2 linked regions of the Astyanax mexicanus genome follow. The protein of the gene in region 1 binds, or shares a complex with, the protein of each later gene. Links are inferred from orthologs where the notes say so. Each region holds a gene or a part of one and is shown in the gene's direction. Other genes may lie near its edges.

Region 1 (10,499 bases):
ATCAAACTTGCATCCTGACAGTAATTAGTCACCAAAGTTTGAGCTAATTTATTGTATTTAGTTCACATTGGCATATAATCACATTCACAACAGCAGTAAACGATTGGTTCAACACAGTGCACAATGCAGACAGTTTCATCTCACGTCTTACTCTGCTCACTTGGAACCACTTGCAGGCAGGTACTAAAAAGGAACCAAGTACCAGGTACCAAGCTTGATTAATTTAAGGTGTTTAGCACATACATGCACTCTGAGACTAAATATGGCAGATAATAGTGGCCAAAAACCTTTGTCCAAAGAATTATGTGAAGCAACATCTGCCTGGAAATACAATGATATGAATCTGAATGGGACTAAAATAATTAGATAGTCACTGAGATTAGTGCAAAAAAAAGTAGGTATTAACACATCCTGTCCTTTCCTCAAACAAGACAAGTTTAATCCAGGTGGGAATAAAACATCAGAAAGCTCAGTAAAGCTTTTAGCTTTTGTTTATATTTATATTTTATTAAAATAAGCAGTTTGATCTGAAACATTTAAATGTAGCAAATATGCAAAAATAGAAGAAATTAGGAAGGTGATATTTTTTTTTTTACAGCACTGTAGTGTGTCCCATCATTACATTTGACAAAACATGACCCTAGACTTGATGTGAGCTCATCATTGTTGCACAACTGTTTTAGGCATTGACTGGGCTCCTAAAAGCGATCGGATTGTAACCTGCGGAGCGGATCGCAATGCTTACGTGTGGAGCCAGAAGGACGGCGTTTGGAAGCCCACTCTTGTCATCCTCAGGATCAACCGTGCTGCCACGTTTGTGAAGTGGTCTCCACTGGAGAATAAGTTTGCAGTGGGCAGTGGAGCTCGCCTCATATCTGTTTGCTACTTTGAGTCTGAAAATGACTGGTGAGTCTGAATTGGAGCTTCTAGTGAACGTTTTAGGAGCCTTCAGTTTAAAACAGATCACATTGCAGCTGTTCTGTGCATAAATATGCTTTCTATGTTTTTTAAAAAGGTGGGTTAGCAAACACATCAAGAAGCCTATCCGCTCCACTGTCCTCAGTCTTGACTGGCATCCAAACAATGTACTTCTGGCAGCTGGGTCATGTGACTTTAAATGCAGGTAAGTTTGAGTCTCACGGTTACCTGGAATTTTCATTGAGAGTCCGCTATTCCCGTTATGGGCACGTGACTACTCGCAATCATATCACTCCTGTGTAAAGTCTAGGTTCTCCTTATAGCTTCACAGAAAAAAAAGAAAAAAAAAAGTATTATAAGCAGAGACCTTATTAGTGAGGATGTATGAATGGGATTTCTTGTAATGCTAAAAATTGCTCCTGTTTATGGAAAAAGTCTTGCCCTTAACAAAAAGAGCCAATCAGCTGCTTCTTGTGTGTAGACTGTAGGAGTGTCAGCATGCTGGTAGGAAAGCCCCTGTCCCGTCCCCCCATTCAAACAGACATAAGTGCCCGGCCAAGTGAACTGACATTTTTATAACAACTTTTTAAGAAGTTTTAGAGTATGTCAAATAATAAAAAAGTGGCATAATCAGAGATACAAGGTTTTTGTGTTGCCCCAGCGCTCACTGAGGGTTCAGTGTTTTCTGATTCTTTGTCCTGTAAAGCTGCTTTATGACATCAGTTGTAAAATGTGCTATACAAATAAATTTGATTTTGATTTGTTACAGTGACAATAACAATATTTGTTTTACTCTATATTTCCAAATGGTTGTGGACACTCCTTTAAAAAATGTTAGTTACACCAATTGCTGATACAGATGTACAAATGCACACTGTGTGTTTAGTCCCTGTAGAGAAGCCAACAGAATAAGACTGTCTGGAGCAAATAAACACAAAGCTATTGGTACCATGTCAAATGCCACACATGGACTAAAGGTTATCCAATCAGGTGGTGATCATCCATCGTCCTATAATCTAAGAGAAACATCCCCAGAAAATTAGAGACAGTTACTTCATCAAAAACTGCATAAAGTCTTTTAATACCTTTTGATTTCGAACAAAACCATGAAAGATCTTTGGCATCTATTTCAGACAATGCCATGTTTATTTGAACAGGCTGCTGTTGCTTTTCAGAACAGTGATGGACTTTTGTCTGTGTCCTTATAGTCATGTGACATCTATCTCTTTCGCAGGGTATTTTCTGCATACATCAAGGAGGTGGATGAAAAGCCAGCTCCAACTCCATGGGGGTCCAAGATGCCGTTTGGGCAGGTGATGGCAGAGTTTGGTGGGGCAGGCAGTGGAGGATGGGTCCACAGTGTCTGTTTCTCTGCCAGTGGGAACAGACTGGCCTGGGTCAGCCATGACAGCACTGTGACTGTGGTGGACCCCACAAAAAGCTCAACGTGAGAATCTTAATATGATTGCATTTTTTTATGTTTTCAGAAAACATTGTGTGTTTTCAGATTTGTTTTGTTGGCCCTTTTTTCTGAAAGACTGCTTCCTTTTGTTTGCAGGCCAAGCCCACTGAAAACAGAATTCCTTGCTCTTCTGAGCGTCACCTTCGTTTCTGAGAACAACATTGTGGCAGCGGTAAGGGCAGGTTACAGTTTACAGCACAGGTTCAGGTTTTATTGTCATTTTTGTCTCAGGATTCAGTTTTAAAGTGGTGTTTTTCCTCTGAAGGGTCATGACTGCTGCCCAATGCTGTTCAGCTTTGATGATGGTGGAACCTTGACCTTCATATCCAAGTTGGACATTCCAAAGCAGAGCATCCAGCGCAACATCTCTGCCATGGAGCGCTTCCGCAACATGGACAAGAGAGCCACCACTGAGGACCGCAATAGCACTCTGGAAACCCTTCACCAGAACAGCATCACGTAAGTCTCATGCCCTGGTCGTGGTCCTGAATAGTGTTTGGACACTGGCTTCAGATTAGGCCTGTAGAATATTGACAGAACTAACAGTTTTTCCACTGCAATCACTGCAGTCACAGATCCAACATGTCATGAAATTGGTAATTAGGACTGGATATCGAAATTTGATACCATAAAGACACAGTGGTCCAAAATGTCTCGGTACTACAGAGTACCAAAAGGTCCAAAAAAATTTGGTGCCTGTTTTCGATACTTTGCATTAAACCTGCATAAACGCGCACAGAAACACAGTCTCTTGCTTGACCTCTTGTGCGCCGTCTCTCTTTCTCTCTAGCTCATTCACGTTGTCTCTCTCTCATTTTCATTCGCTTTGTCTCTCACGCAGTCCTCCCCTCTACCCTGAGATATTATAATACAATAAAAAATGATCTAGTCTGCCAAACCTAAACCACACTACACTATTTTAGCTGTTCCCTCACAATAATACAGGGAACTAGCATGAAACTTGATATTTAATTTTTAAGTGATTGACACCACTCTAATAAAAATAATTTAGTTTTGCCAATCTAATGCAGATATTTTTTTAAAAGAACTGAAATGCATCCAGTATTATGCTTAGTGAAAATATTTGTAGTAACGCTGTTGTTTTGGTTCTTAATAAAGCGCCACAAACAACCAACAAGATCCAAAATTATGGTAGTCTCTCACAGTGATAGTTTAAACATGTTTTGTGAGAATAATTATCGCTTTTTGTATATATTTTTTTTAGTTACAATTAAAAAAAGATATCGAAAAAAGTATTGTTTGGGTATCTGTACCAGATTTAAAGTATTGTATCAGTATCAGTACTGAACATTTTTAAACGATAACCAGCCCTATTGGTAATGCACTTTGTGTAGCCATGTAAGCTAAAGGAAGCAGCTCTAACCTGTGGAGTTTTCCTAGAATTGGTAAATGTCTGCACAATTTAGAAATATAATGTCCCATCCATCTGGCACTCACTGCCGATCTCACTCAAACTGATGTTTTACGTTGCCTTTCCAGTGTACTGCTCTCCCATGACTTCTAGCATGCCAATGTATAATCAACCTATAGTAGATATGGCCTGGATATTTCCATTTTATACCAACTGCCAAAAAGGTTGTAGTGTGGTGTGTTTGCCTTTGCCTAATGTGTAGGGGTATAATGGTTACATGTGTTCTTTATGAATTATCAGTAGAGGGGTCATGGTTTGTGCAGTTGCAGAGGAGAATACACTGTACACACCGTTTATACCAATGTGTGATAACCAATGAACACAGTGAGTTATTTGCACGAGAAAACTTTAGCTGATTTGTACTGACAAAATTCTTTAAACTTTGAACTTAAGTTTTGTTTAAATATAAATTATATTAAATTATAACACTCCTCTCATTGCAAAACGTTTTATATTGTATTCAATTTTGTATTTTATAACAGTAAACATAAAATGTGTATTTCAGGTTAGATAAGAATACGACCACTGTGACTGTTTACATTTCGCTGTTTAAATGCAGTATAGACTGTATTGCTCACCATATTTTTCAGACTTTAAGGCGCACTATCAGTGAACGTCTATTTTCTGGTGTATTTTTGGATTATAAAGCGCTTTATGCAGCACTAGTAAGGATCATGGGTTCTAATTCAGCAGGTCTCACTGCAGGTGGGGGTAGTTAACTAAGTTAAGTAGAGCAAAGCAAAGTAAACACAACTGTAATTCTTAAAAATAAAAAAGGATGTTAATCTACACAGATTTATCTTCTGAAAACTAGGCAAGAAATGCACTTCCATTTATTTACAGTAGGCTTAGATTTGCAGATTTCCACTAGGTTAGCCGCAGTTAGCGCTAGTAAATGCTGCCGACAGCGCTACACTGAGGAATCCTGAGTGTTCTGGTAAGCCGCGGCTAATGCTGCTCCAGCAGTGCTAGTCGGGGTTAGCAGTAAGCTACAGGCCGATAATACTCCCCTCTGAACAGTAAAAAAGATAGCACTTATTACGGTTAGGGGCTAATGCTAATACTGCTCCAGTTTCGGTGCTGGAGAACTAAACTGAAACTCCTGTATAACGCTGTACTAAAATTCATACATAAGGTGCACCAGATTATATGACGCACTGACTATTTTTGGAAAAATTAAAGGATTTTGGGTGCACCTTATAGTGCAAAAAATTCGATACCTCAAGGGAAATATATAAAAGTACCTGGAGCATACTGGAAGTTGCACAATTACTGTTTATTTTTGCCTCTACTTTTCGTAGCAGAATCGCACCAAATTGTGGAATTTTGTGTACTGTTACATTTCTACTTAAGTGATCTTGAACATCCTGCTGTGTGACTACTACTCAAACATCACATGCTGAAAAAAATATATATATCACATGTACAACTCCACTTCAGATGTTGTGGCAGTTGGCATTTGATTTTATTTGACTGAGGATAAGATAACAAATAAGTTGGTTATGTTTAAATTCATGGAGGGGTTTACATTATTTTTCTCAGTGTTTTGATATAAATTTGTTCTGATCTGTAAGTAATCTCCTTTGCCTTTCCTCTGCAGCCAAGTGTCTATATATGAAGGAGACAAAAGAGATTGTCGCAAATTCTGCACTACAGGAATCGATGGAGCAATGACCATATGGGACTTTAAGGTTTGCCTTTTTGTTTGTTGTGCTTTTGTTGGCATCTCTTTTTTTTTGTTGTTTGTTTGCTCGTTTGTTTTTTTAGAATAGAACAATCTTTGTTTTCCTTGCAGTCATTTCTCAATCTTGCGTAAGAAACATGCTCTGAGCTCAACAGCTCACTGTATTTGATCTTCTTCTCATTTTTCTTCTTCTTCTTCTTCTTTTTTTTGTCTCCTCAGACTTTAGAGTCCTCTATTCAAGGCCTACGGATCATGTGAAAGACCTCACTCTGAACTAGCACGACGCAGCGCAGGCAATGCAGCTTGAAGACTAACAAGGAGATTTCTGATAACACTTCTGAAAGTTTTTAACTGAGAAAAAAAAAAGCACTGAACAGTGGTGTGAGCTGACGTGACACTCTTAAAAAGAAACAAATGAAAAAAAAAAATGGAAAAACACTAATGGAAAAGGGGGTTAGGGTCTTTTTTTTTGTTTTGTTTTTTTGGGGGCTTTTTTTTTTTTTTTTTTTTTTTTTTTTAATTCTATGCCAAAGCTGGTGCTCCAGCAGTCTGACATTTGATCTTGGTGTTCTGGGGAACCAGAGAGGCGTTAAATTAAAGGAGAATTTTATGTAAATGGTCTGCTAGAAATAAATGAAGTATACTACACACCATTTGGGAATGTAGTGTCTTGTCTCGTTCTGTGTGACTTGTTGTTATTATTAATTTAATGAATGCATTTAATGCTCGCGTTCGGGATGTTTGGTATTGCTGTTGAATGTTGCACAACTTTTTGGGATATTTGATTAACTGCAGCCTCAATTCATGCCAAACACTCACCCATCCACAGCGAATAGAAGGTTTGCTAGTTGGTTTAGTGTTCACATTGCACATTCTGGACTCACTGTGTTTGTACAGGCAGCACACACACACCGGCAGATGAAGGATCGCGAGAGTAGCTTATGTTATACATGCCTCTGAGCAGGATGTTGAAAGGAGTTGAACAGAGAAGGCTGGCCCCGTTTGCAGACAGCCGCCCACACGAGGAAGTGGTTAAGTGTCTCAAACAGGAAGGGGGAAGAACACTTCTTTTTCTTTTTTTTTTTTCTTTTTTTTTTACGTATATAAAAGGTCTAAGGAAATAGTTGAGTTCATTGAGAGCCGAGCCAGCGTTTGTGTTGACTGCTCAGAGTCCACGAACTCAGGCTGCTTCTGTTCCACCTCTTCCTATCTGCTAGATCTCAGGGAAACTTCCCGTTTAACCATTTCCAGGGTGAGTAGATGAACAGATTTTTCTGTTTATGTGAAGCGTAGTGCAGGCTTTCAGCTAGCTGCTGCAGGGCGTGTTCTGCTCTATATATGTATATATATATATATATATATGTGTGTGTGTGTGTGTGTGTGTGTGTGTGTGTATGCAGAGCTTCAAGTGTTGCGAAACTAACATGTACTAACATGTTATTACTACTATTACGCCTTTGCATAACAATGTCATAACTGTTCCCAGATATACAGCTATAAATAGAGGTTTTGAGGAGGAAACTGTTGTTTCTTATGAACTGTTGAGAAGACTTTAGAAGGCGTAAGAGGCTCTTTAGAGCAGGGAGGGAGCTCTGAATGGAAAGTCTGAGATGAAAAGGTGTTGAATGTGTTTTTCTCCTGCAGTTGTCATCCGGCTGTCTGACCTCACGTCACATTCCTTTCTGCTCTGCTTTTAATTTACTGCAAAAGAGAGAGAGAAAGAGGGGAAAAAGAGGAAGTTTAGTTCCAAAGGCCGGCTGGGAGCGTTTTAGACTAAATCTAAATTTGAGCTAGACATGAAAGAATGTGTTTATTTTATTAGGGGTGGGCGATATGGCCCCAAAATAATATCATGATATTTCAGGGCTATTTTTGCATTAACGATATTCTTGGCAATAAACTTTTTGCTGTTTTTATTGTATAAAGACAAGTTTCAAACAATCAGTAGAAACAGAAAAAAATCTGTAAATCTGTGCCGAATTTTTAGTGCATGCATATTAACTGCAAACAAACACAATTATACTCTTAAAAAGTAAAAAGCTTAAAGCTCCACTGTAAATACAAAAAAAACCATACTGATTACAAGATCAAATATTGCTTTAATCATTATATACTGTTCTTTTTTATTAACTAATTTAATCATAAATTAAATAAATTATAACATTTTATACTGTGTAATACAATATGGCACACCCCTAGTTCACATGTAGATCAAACACAATGGAGTTGACTACATAAGGAAGTTCAGAAAGTTCTCCTTTTAGAGCCGCTGCTTCTTGTTCTCATTTCTGCGGAAGTGAAGAAGCGTGGCCTCACTTTTTGATTTTTTTTTTCTTTTTGTAAATTTAACACAGATATAACTAATTAGCAGGTGTTCTCACCAAGATCAAAGTAGATGTTTTTTTTGTGCAATAAAAATATACCAGAAATGTTCAAATGTATGAAGAATTTGAGACTTTAGATGACACATGCTTCCATCCATCAAAACCTCTAAAAGCTATAATATGCTGAAAAGTTCTCCCAAAATCCATGTGTGGACTGAATTATAGATAATAAATAAAAAAGTATTTAGATATGGTTACTTGGATGTGCTCTTTTAAACATTTGAGCAGATGCTAAAGGTTTGAAGGTGTTCAGTTTGTTCTTATCTGCTGCTGTATCTGATCTGCAGAGACCTGAACCATGGCTTACCACAGCTTTCTACTGGAACCCATCAGCTGCCACGCCTGGAACAAGGACCGAACCCGTGAGTTCTGCTGCTCTTGTGTAGAGCATCTTCCAGAGTTCTGAAGGCCTTTAAACATCTCAAAATCACAAAGATGTCCACCCTAGCATGAGAGGGGGGCTATACTATACTGAAATACTATCACAATATTTCAGTGTTTCAATGTTGTAATAAGATATTCTTGGTGATGGGACTAAAAACATATTTTATTAATTTAAAAAATATTTTACTGCAACAAAATAATGGTGGTTTCATTGAGTATTAATATAAAAGTTTCATAGATTCAGTATAAAACAAAAACATTACATTTTTGTCATTTTTTTTATCAGATACAGCATGATAATACTGTAATAATAATATTTAACAGCAGATAATAAGTAACAAACAAACATGTAATAATGTTTAACAGCAGATATATATATATATATATATTTTAAATGTAATAATAATGTTTAACAGCAGATAATATTTGTAAAAATCTGTATTGTTTAACAGTAGGTATTTTTTTAGTAATAATATATAACAGAAGGTTATATTTTTTAATAAATAAAAATGTATAACAGCAAATAATAACAAAAAATCTGTAATAATAATGTTTAACAGCAGATATGTTTTAAAATCTGTAATAATAATGTATAACAGCAGACAATAATGTAACAAAAAACCTGTAATAACGTTTAACAGCAGATAATATTTTTTTTTTAAATCTGTAATAATAATATTTAAAAGCAGATAATATTTTTAAAAACCTGTAATAATTTGTATCAGCACATAATATTTTTTTTTAATCTGTAATAATAATAATGTTGAACAGCAGATAATATTTTTTTAAATCTGTTATAATGTTGTAATTATTATAATTATAAATATTATTACAATCTGTAATAATAATAATGAATGACAGAAGGTGAAAATTTAGCTAAATATTTTTTTAATAATAATGTATGACAGCAGATAATATTGTAGCACTAATTATATAATAATAATGTATAACAGCCGATGGAAATATGGCACACTCCTGCACAGAACATGGATTATAGGCAGGCCTGTGTTGGTGCAGATGCTGGAACATGTGGTTGCTACATTAGGCTGGAGCGTCTGGTCCCAGGCCAGGTATCTGCAGGTATTTCCGCAGGACTCGCAGCAGGAGGCGGCTGCTGGGTTTTCATAAGCTTCTCTGATTTATGGACTCACTCTTTAAAGCTTAATGTTCACTGGGAATGTTCACATTTGTAATGTAGATGTATGTAGTCGCTCCAAACAGACAAACAGACACTAGGCTGGCTGTCCTTGTTTTGGCTCTGCAGAAGAACAAGGACGGGTTTGTTGGTGTGTTTTTTTTTTCTACTACTTTTTGGAGATCACACGCTCAGAAAGAACATTTTTGGTGTTTTTTTTTCTCTGAAGGTTCCTGAATGCATTTGAGTGGCTCAGTAAACAGGGAGAAGAATGGGTATTTTCTCCCCTGATGTTCAGATTAAATTAGTTCATATTTAATTCCCTGTTTCAAGTCTAGGATCATTGATAACATCCATATTGGCCATTGTGTTTTTTTGCATGTTTGTTTATGTAAGAAAGAATGTCACCAGTATTTTCAATACTTACAATAGCTTGAAAGATAAGCATAAATGTTATCGGTTGGCTTCTAATAACAATTATGTTGTAGCGTCACCAAGATTGGAGTAAAAAGGCCAGACCATAGTCATATTGAGCAAAATATATTAAAATAAGATTAAAGCATGAGTGGCCAGTAAAAAAGCAGCAGTTTTCTTATAAAAATTGCAGAGCTCTTATCCACCTTCTACCAGAGGTGGAAAAAGTACTGAAAAAATGTAATTAAGTAAAAGTACCTTTTCTTTGCTAAAAAGTAGGAGCAGGATAGTTAGAAAGCTAGCTAGCCACTAAATCTTGCCAGTAATTCTCATAGAACTCTGTTTTAAGAGTGCATCTAAAAAAATCTTTGTTTGAAGGCCCATTTAGCTATAACTCTTCACCCTACCCCTCCAGCCTAACAAAAATCAGGACACCCCTACCCCTAGACGTTCACACACAAAACAAAGGGGTAGAGCTAAGTGGTAGAGCCAAGGGGTGAAATAGGATTGGGCCTAAACCTAGTCATAGAATATATTTTCCTTTCAGTGGAAAATCTCCATTTTAAAATAACAAAATTTAATCCCTATCATGGAAATAAAGGAATCCCATTCATATAGCTTGCCATCGGCTGCCGGAGCCCCGAGAGAGCACAATTGGCCTTGCTCTCTCTGAGTGGGTAGATGGC
Region 2 (10,273 bases), on another chromosome or scaffold:
TAACAATATACAACAAATATATAGCATTGTTGAAGGTAGTATACACCAAGATTTATTTATGTAGTACCACTATAATATTTAGTCTCTGTCTCTCTCTAGTGTCAGGGTGGAGTGATTACACCACTGAAAAATCAAGTTTGTATAGGTTACACGTTCAATTCCAGCTGTTCTGCAGTTCGGTATGGAGGACGAAAAATGACAAGCATAAATAAATACATGCACATATAAATAAATAAATAAATAAATAATAGTATAGGTAACTTAATTAATAAATATATTTTGAATATCATATTAGGAATCACTGTTCATATTTCCATGCGTGAACCTTTATTATTCTTTTTTTTTTTTTCAAAATTTCAACATTTATATTCTGTTATATTATTCCCACATTTCTTTATTTTATTTATGTATTATTTATTTATGTACGTATTACTATATTTCTTTATTTATTCATTTCTGTATGTATCAATCAATATATATGTATTAAACAATAAATATATAGATAACAATAAATGCAGAAAAATACAGAAACAGACCCAAATAAAGTGGATGGAAAGTTAATGGAAACATGATATAGTTGATATCGTTTTAAGTGAGTGCTTTTTTCATAAAAATGTATTTATTCATGTATTTACTTGCCTATATATTTATTTATTTTATTTTATTTATATGTGCAATTATTTATTTACAATTATGTATTTTTGTGCACTGACTCGGCAGCGCTCTCTGGTGGGTATTCGAATCTAGAGAGATTGGCGATTCTCTGAACGCTGTAGTTTTTGATACTCTTCGCTTTCCGTAGTTCTGACTGGTCAGCAGGCAGCATGGAGGCAGTGGGAGATTAGTGGTGTGGTGTTTACAGTCAGAGATAGAGATATGAATACAGTTACAGAGATATTTCTGTGATTTCTCTCACTGTACTGTAATATAAATACTGTAATATATTCTGTAATAGTGGAGAACTGCGTTATTCAGAAGTTATAAAGCTGTTTATAGTAACTTAGTTAATAATGCCGCGCTACGCTCAGCTGGTGATGGGACCCGCCGGCAGCGGAAAGGTAAAACTATTAGATCAGAGTTTAATATAAAACTATCAAGCTAAATTAAAGCTGTTAAATCTGATTATACTGCTTTATTTTAGTGTTTTATACAAATCTATCCCTATTAACATACATTCAGTATTTTCTCTGGCTACCGTCACATCGCAGGAGTGTAAATAGGATACTAAATTAATATTTAGAGCTAGGAGTGGGCCCTAAAATAATATCACGATATTTCATGGTATTTTCGCGATAACGAAAGTCTTGGCGATATGACAAAACACTGAATAAAAAAAATATTATTATTGTATACAATATGATATTATATATGTTACCCCTAACTGAGATATTAAAAAATGTAATGTAATGTAATGTAAAAAAAAACACAAGAATTTTATCAGATTTGTAACAGAAGTCAATGATCCAAAATGTCATGATACTAATAATAATGCGTTCCAAATATCTCCATATATCCAGGATATATCCAGTAAAATAAATGATACAGAACAGATATAATCTGTCTCTAGTAGATATACTATTTATATATAATGTGAATAAATAAGATAAAACTCGAAATCACTTGAAAAGCTTAATGGATGACTGTAAATTAAGTACATTTTCACTTACAGACACTTACAGAAACATAAATAAGATTAATCCCATTTAAATAAACACAGAAAGAGAGTGGTTTTTGATTATTATTTGATTATGCTGCTCATTTTAATAGTGAACTACTCTGCTCCTCCACAGAGCACCTACTGCTCCACTATGATACAACATGCTGAAGCCATCAGCCGCTCTGTGCAGGTGGTGAATCTGGACCCGGCAGCAGAACACTTCGACTACCCAGTGATGGCAGGTAAGACTGGAGACAAATCGACCAGCAATAAATCCAGAAATACTCAGAATTGTACAAATGATTGTTTTTATTGTTAATGTTAATCCAGGTCAGTGGATGAGGAATATAACACAATGAAAATGATATTTGGTGCCACGTAACGATAAAAAACAATATGGTCAAAATGATGCGATATATTGATATATTGTCCCGCCCCTAATATTAAAAGACGGCTACAAAGAATCTTGTTGTTTTCTGTTGTTTTTGTAATGGTACAGATATCCGAGAGCTGATCCAGGTGGATGATGTGATGGAGGACGATTCGCTGAAGTTTGGGCCGAATGGAGGACTTGTGTTCTGTATGGAGTATTTTGCGAATAACTTCAACTGGCTGGAGGAGTGTCTTGGTCATGTTGAGGATGACTACATTCTTTTTGACTGTCCAGGTAATTCTGAAATTCATTGCCATTAATCCATTATTAAGATTATGGTAATGATAATTGTGAAATAAAATTGTGAGGAAATTCATTAATACAAAAAAGTGACTTTAATGGATGTTCTCGCCTAAAACTATTCTTATTTATGTCTAATTTGACCCCATTTTTACACAGTTCCTATCAGCTGGACCACTCAAAGCCCCTAGACTAAAACTATTAACTATTATCCATTCTTTTATTCTATTTGTGTTTTCATCAACATCTGTGTTCTCTTTAAATCCACATTATTTATTCCCATGTGTTTTTTCCTCTCTGGCTGCAGGTCAGATAGAGCTGTACACACACCTCCCGGTTATGAAGCAGTTGGCTGAGCAGCTGCAGCAGTGGGAGTTCCGGGTGTGTGGGGTCTTCCTGGTCGACTCTCAGTTTATGGTGGAAAGCTTCAAGGTAGGAAATTAATATTGTTTTTTGAAAAAATAAAATAACAATCAGGATTATTGCATTTTCAGCTCAAAAACACCCTAGAGCAGGGGTTCTCAAATGGTCCTTTATTTTTCTCCTGGTCATTAAGTTACAACCCACTTTAAATTCAAACCAAACTAATTAATAAAAATATAGCTTTCAAAAAGCAGTTTAAACATGCATATGCAAGCAAAGTGAATTTTCAGAGCACTTCAGAGCATTTAAGAAACTAAGGAGGTTCATAATAATTATATGTATAAAAGTTACTACTATTAGGTTAATATTAAAATTGCACGAAATAAATAATAAATAAATAAATAAATATTTCACTTCTCTGCATATCTCTGCATTGAGAGTATATAAAATACAAAAGAGTACAAAACCAGATGAACATAAATTATTTTTAATTTTAGATTTTTTTTTTATATATATTTACTTTTACAGTAAGCTTTTTATGACACGCCCAGAACGTGCCCACAGCCCACTTTTGGGTCCTGAACCACCAGTTAAGAATCACTGCTCTAGATTATCAGTTTCTAGCAGTTTTTTGTGATGTAAACTTCTGTATTGTCTTTAAAAGCAAAAGAAACACACTAATATTTTTCATATTTAGTCAAAACTCAAACTTTTTAAAACACTAAAATTTATTTTTTTTGTCCTTATGTATTTATATTTTTACTTATTTTAATCATTTCTTATTTCCCTATTATACCATTTTATAAATCCTTTTTAAAATGTATATGAATAATGTGAAATACTGGAAAAGGGAAAACGTAAAATTGTATTTGTATTGAATTACATTGTACTATGTAAAATAAATAAACAATAAGCCAAAAAAACATTACAATTTGGATGGTAACATATCTTAATGTGTGACTAAATAGATGTTATTTAGTTTAAAAAAAACACCCATCAGAAATGCTCTGTTTTCTAGTTTATTTCAGGTGTAATGGCGGCTCTGAGTGCCATGGTGGCGCTAGAAATCCCTCAGGTCAACATCATGACCAAAATGGACCTGCTCAATCCAAAAGCCAAGAAGGAAATAGAGAAGTAAGTTTCCCAAAGAGTGTCGGTCTGTATTTGACTGTATTCGTGTGTAAAATCTGTAATAAAACACAGATAAATATAATGTTTTTACTTCAGGTATCTGGATCCAGACATGTACTCCATGATGGAGGACAACTCTACAACCCTGAGGAGCAAAAAATTCAACAAACTCACTAAAGCTATCTGTGGTTTGGTAGGTTTACAATGATGCCTGTTTTTGTATTATATTTTATTAAACAATTAAATAGATTTTTATGGAACAGAATATTTTATTTTAATATGTACATTATAATATGTAAAGAGTTGTCTGTCATTGTATTTTGTTTTATTGAAACTATTTCTATTATTATATCTATTTTTATGTAATGCAATTGAGGAGGTAGGTAGGTCCCAAATTTTATATATTTTATATGTAAATATGACATAAAATACATTGTATTTTAAGAAACAGATTTGTGTTTGTGTACAGATTGATGACTACAGCATGGTGCGCTTCCTGCCCTTTGACCGCACAGATGAGGAAGGCATCAACATTGTTCTACAGCACATCGACTTCTCCATTCAGTATGGAGAGGACCTAGAGTTCAAGGAGCCGAAGGTAAACACGTTATTTAATTTGTCTTTTTAGTTTACCGTGTAGATTATCATGTGGTTGCCAGGTTCAGTAAAAAATATCCAGCCAAAATAAGTCTAAAACTTGCCCTTCAGAAGCCTAAAGTAGCCCAATATCTAAGGTTTAAATGCAGTTGATTTAAATACAAAGGCTTTAAAGGTGTATGATTATTTCCATTTATTTTTCATCATTATATTACTTAACAATTTCCCTTTTTCTTTAGGAGACTGAGGAGGAGCCTAGCAACACAAATTATGATGAATTCTTTCAAGACAAAGTGGATTACTAGACACTTCATCATAGAAATACAGCCTGTTTGACACATAACAAGACTAAAAGTCACAGAGATGCAGTGCTGATGAAACGGGCACTCAGCAGCAGGGTGCTGTGACCCTCCCAGCCTGGAAGTGAAGAGCACCGCTGCAGGACATGAGGAGGAAATGTCGGGCAGTCTGAAGAGTCTGAAGTTCCTCAAGAATCTAGTTTCTGTGCGTGTGGGTGTGTGTGCATGTTTTCAATACAGACTGCATAATTATTATTCTCCTAATTTTATTCTTCCTGTGTTTCCTGTCTGTTCCTACACTCTTTAAGTATGGGATGATGCATTCTTACATTCTTAGAGCTGTATAATAAATATTTTTTCAATAAAATATTTGTAAAAGTTTATTACATGTGTTCTGATGGTTGTTGATCTGAAAAATGTAATGTTTAAATACAAATTACATATACATAAATAGGTATGAATTACTACGACATGACAATGGCCATACTATATACAATTATGTATGATTATATAAATATATATATATATATATATCAGTATGTTTTTGTTTAATATGTGTTTGATGGTTTATAATGATCTACAAGTATGGCCAGTTTAATAGTGTGTGAATGAACATTTCATGTAAACTTTTTTCATGTTAAACTATTTAATATACCACAGTGGATCAACACCAGCAGATGACATGACTCTCAAAACCATCACTGATCATCAGTAAATTTTACATTTTATTTAAAAATCAAGGGAGCAGAGTCTGGAGGAAGAGTGGAGAGACACACAGTCCAAACTGCTCGAGGTCTAGAGTGAAGTTTCCACCAATCAGTGATGGTTTGGAGAGACATGTCTGTCATCTGCTGGTGTTGATCCACTGTGTTTTATTATCAAGTCTAAAGTCAGTGCAGTTTTGTTTTCCCACAAAATCTTACAGCACTTCATGCTTCCCTCGGCTGAAAACAGCTTTTATGGAGATGCAGATTTCATTTTCCAGCAGGACTTGGCACACTGCCTACACTGCCACAAGTTTTCATTGGCTGTAAGACATAATCATCACCAATAAAATAAATAATTTCATGCTTAAAATAGATCATCCTGTGTGTAATACTGTAAGACGTTTATGTAATATATGCGTTTCACATTTTAAACTGAATTACTGAAATAAAGTAATGATATTTTTAATAATATTATTTTTTTTTTAGATGCTCTAGTTTTAGTATAGTATATGCGGTTATCTGCCCCTAGTGGTCAGTATGGGAACTGCAGCCCAAGCTCTTCCTGTATAGCGGTTGGGTGGGACTCACAGCGGAAGCGGCGTTTTGCAGCGCTGACACTATCCATATTTTCCTCACCAAATCCCGCTTACCTATCAACAAAATGCCGGTAAGAAAATGTTTAAAGTCTCTTTTAATAGAACGTCATATTAAAACGGCTTTTAAACAGTATAATCTTCGTTTTCGGGTCTTTTTCTGAGCCACGGTAGCTGGAGCTGATGGTCAACCGAACGAAGCTAGCTGCACGGCTAGCAGCTTCCCGTCCCTCCTCAGACATTTTCAGAGAATTTTAGCTGGACTTTCTGATTTTAAAGCTGATTTTAACGTGTTCTGTTTGTTTAAAACACCTGCATGTGTTTTATGAGTCTTAGAGGTTTGCTGGTATCGCATATAAGCAGTTAATACACATTTTTTTTAGGGATTTAGGGAGCTAACCCCAGCTAACTAACTAATACATAGCTTTAGCTTAGCGAATGTATTGCATTGGTAATGTAACCCAGTGTAGTTTCAATACTGTAACGCTATAACTAGCTATAGCTAAGGCTGTTGGTATTTTTATTTGCTTTAAAAACACATTATTGCATATTTAATAGATTTAATACTAATTCCAACGGGTTTTCCTCTTTTTTTTTTGGATTATCAGGCTTACCACTCCAGTCTGATGGATGGCGACACCAAGCTGGTGGGGAATATGGCATTACTCCCTCTCAAAACACAGTTTAAAGGCCCGGCTCCAAAAGAAAGTGAGTTATTATTTTAGTAATAAATGTGTTTTTAAAAATACATATGCTGGCTGTGTCATGTGTCCAAGCCGTAGGGCTCCAGCATTACTTCCTTAAATGGTTGCGAACTGGCTGCACTACTAACTACATCACCATAGACTCAGATTCATCATCTTCCTGTTTTCTATTTTGACAGCCAAAGACCAAGATATCATCGATGAGGCTATTTATTACTTCAAAGCCAACGTTTTCTTCAAGAACTATGAAATTAAGGTACGTACTGCAAGCCTGCAATGTACTGCAATACCCAGGAAGTAGCTGAAGGACCCAGGACTGTAAAAAATGCACTCATGCCTCAACCTGCATTCTTCTAAGATCTGCCTCTGCAGCCACCTTCAGTTTAGCCTGCACTGGTGCTGTATTCGCATGCTTTTTGTACAAAAAAAAAAAAAAAAACACATAAGCAAATATGCAATCAGCTGTTCTTTACTACTTTACTACTCTACTTTACTATTTCATGGTATTTTCGCAATAACAATACTCTTGGCAATATGATAAAAAAACTGAATTAATATATATATATATATATATATATATATATATATATATATATATATATATATATATATATTTCAAGAATACACTTCTGCGGCAAAATTTTAATTCCATTCTATTATTGCATACGATAGAATATGACAAACCCCTACTATTCACTGATCACAGTATGGGAAAGTATCTGAGTAATGTTTTATTAATCTTTCACTACTGATGCTTTTTGAATGTAATTACATGTATCATAATAAATGCTGTGTATTGTTAAAAAAAAAAAGCAGACATGTTATTTGCAAGGCGCTATAGATGATTTTTTTCTTTAGTCCAGCTTTTTTTGTCCAGTCCAATATGGCAAAATATCCACGACACACACATATATTTACATTTACTGTTACATGTATGGTATATAGCTGAAACACACAATTTTAACTGGTACTGTAATTTATTATGGTAACAGTGAAATACAGTCATGCCTTCATATAATCACATGTAGGGTCGCTCTCTGTTTTGTACTCTTTTATGTATTGTATTGTAAGCACATACGTCTTTTCTAGCAGTAATTGTTTTATTTGCTTAATTTTTATTAGAATGAAGCTGACCGAACATTGATCTACGTCACCCTGTACATCTCTGAGTGCCTCAAGAAGCTACAGAAGGTGAGTGTGCCTGGAGTAATAATAATAATAATAATAATAACAATACAATTAAATTACACATACTCAGTTCCTATTGTACTTCCTGTAAACAATGGTTTCTCTTCAATACCATCCTGAAATGATAGTGGTACTTCTATACAGTGGAGATGGTTCTCACATTTCCATAAAAGCCCTATTAGGAAATGTAATGGACTACTTAAACGGCGATAGATAGGTGGGAAGTATTATATATTTTATTTTATCATTATTTTCTTATCGTAAGTACAAATATAAACTTTTCAAGCATATTGAGGATTTCTTCAGTGTTTAAAAGTTACTGGCCTAATTGTATATTTATAGATATATATTATAGAGAGCATAATTAGTCAAGAATAACTGGAAGTATTGCAGTAAATTGTACATAAATCTTAGTATGGGAAAATTGTCTTTAAAAATAGTGTTATTATATTTGTATCATGTCGCATAGCCCTACTATCAACTATTTGTTAGTATGGATACACACACACACACACACACACACACACACAGTGCAATGGACAAGTGCTTGCTTGGCTGAATCTTATCACAAAAACCCTCATCGTAATGCCAGGTGTAAACCGACTCCAGTAATACATGGGCACGTTATTATTGTTATATTGTTTGTGGCCTCATCATTTATGCTGTAAATTAAAGGGTTTACTGATACATGTAACAAATACATCCTTCTTTATGTCCTGCAGTGCAGCTCAAAGGGTCAGGGAGAGAAGGAGATGTACACGCTGGGAATCACCAACTTCCCCATCCCAGGAGAGCCTGGATTCCCTCTGAACGCCATGTACGTTAAACCCTCCAACAAACAGGAAGAAGGTACGAGATAACTGCTGCTTCAGTGAATGAATGAATGAATGAATGAAGTTACACTTAAATAACGCCTTTCTAGAAACCAATGACACTTTAGAATTTACACATTTTTACACACAACCCTTTATACTCAGCACTCATCCATACACCGGCGAGAAGCAGCAGCCAATAGAGCACAGCGTACTCTCAACCGGAAACCACAGTCCACCTGGAGGACTGCATCGGCCACTACAGCATTTTACAGCAGAGTCCATATCTAGGCACACAATTCCCTACAATACATATATAAATTAATTTAGAGTATTAAATGTTTCTATTTTTTATGTAACTATATCTGTTCTATCTGTCTATCTGCAGTATGAGTAATCAATTTGAAATGCCTTCATATCAGTGTCCGCTCCCTTTCTAATGTTGACCAAGTGATTGTTGATTGTTTTTATCAGAGACGATGAGGGCTTACCTGCAGCAAATTCGCCAGGAGACCGGCCTCAGACTGTGTGAGCGCGTGTTCGACCCACAGACAGACAAACCCAGCAAGGTAAGCATATATTGTTACACACACACACACACAGGTTTCAGGCTGGTAATCACAGTATTATAAATCAGTGGCTCTCAAGCTGTGATACACAAAGCATTTCAGGGTAGTACACCAGATTACTTCAGAAAATTAAATGAATTTACAAAAAATATTTAATAAAGTTTTTACATCTAAGGTTTGTTTGTGTTTAATGTTTAATCTGGTAGACCCTGTATGTAAGATAACACTTTTACACAGTTTTTTACAGTTTCATAGGCCTTACAATTGATCTCTGTGGAACTCCATTCACAATAGTCTCTATTAGTAATAACAGCAAAATAATTAGTCTGGGGTGGAGCCATGTAGACTCTGTAGTCCACTACATTCTCATGTTATTTCCCACTGTCTCAAGATTTCTCAGTAGGTATACTGCATTTACAATATACAATAATCAGTAATTTGCAGATTGGCTAAAGTGCCAATAAGTTTTTTGGTTTAATCATGGCGCAACATTGCTTTAAAAAGTTTGAGAACCACAGTTATAAATCATTTTTCTGAGCCATAAGAGAGCATTTAGTGTAAAAAATAATTCCAGATCTACAAACAATACAGCTAAACATAATTACAGTTTTACAGAGTTCAATTCCATCAGCAAGTCACCTGATTTACCATTACTAAGCTCTGATTTATGAAACCAAATGTTAATATGATGAGAACTATAAATAATACTCAGACTAAGAAACAAAAGTTTAAAAACACCACTTTTTTATTAATATTTTTTACATATATTCTAATAATGTTTTTAACATTACTAACAAGTACTGATCAGAAAAGCAGCTTTTTTTTTAAACTTATCTTTTTCACATTACTGGTAATTATATATTATATATATAGTTTTATTTTTTAATGTTATGCTTCCAGTGAAATATTAGATAGTACATTAATCACATGTTTAATGTCTCTGCTCTTTTCACAGTGGTGGGTGTGTTTTGTAAAGAAAC

The links. The genes of interacting proteins can lie anywhere in the genome.
Region 2: arpc1b (region 1) and arpc3 share a complex: the UniProt entries of both Homo sapiens proteins name them as parts of the arp2/3 complex. The link is inferred for Astyanax mexicanus from reciprocal best matches to the Homo sapiens genes ARPC1B and ARPC3.

The regions. Positions count from the first base shown.
Region 1 is NC_064410.1:54,827,335-54,837,833, forward strand, and holds the start of arpc1b (actin-related protein 2/3 complex subunit 1B), read left to right. Parts: upstream 1-6,593; 5' UTR 6,594-6,748; intron 6,749-8,167; 5' UTR 8,168-8,178; coding exon 8,179-8,242; intron 8,243-10,499. Other genes in the region: arpc1a (actin-related protein 2/3 complex subunit 1A), read left to right, coding at 684-906, 1,016-1,123, 2,153-2,365, 2,477-2,552, 2,646-2,839, 5,413-5,503, 5,716-5,754. UniProt on the Homo sapiens protein: Component of the Arp2/3 complex, a multiprotein complex that mediates actin polymerization upon stimulation by nucleation-promoting factor (NPF).
Region 2 is NC_064424.1:45,963,972-45,974,244, forward strand, and holds the start of arpc3 (actin-related protein 2/3 complex subunit 3), read left to right. Parts: upstream 1-5,943; 5' UTR 5,944-6,088; coding exon 6,089-6,094; intron 6,095-6,628; coding exon 6,629-6,728; intron 6,729-6,903; coding exon 6,904-6,980; intron 6,981-7,846; coding exon 7,847-7,915; intron 7,916-8,634; coding exon 8,635-8,761; intron 8,762-9,198; coding exon 9,199-9,293; intron 9,294-10,248; coding exon 10,249-10,273. Other genes in the region: gpn3 (GPN-loop GTPase 3), read left to right, coding at 1,011-1,058, 1,791-1,899, 2,157-2,324, 2,638-2,762, 3,712-3,827, 3,921-4,017, 4,294-4,422, 4,661-4,726. UniProt on the Homo sapiens protein: Component of the Arp2/3 complex, a multiprotein complex that mediates actin polymerization upon stimulation by nucleation-promoting factor (NPF).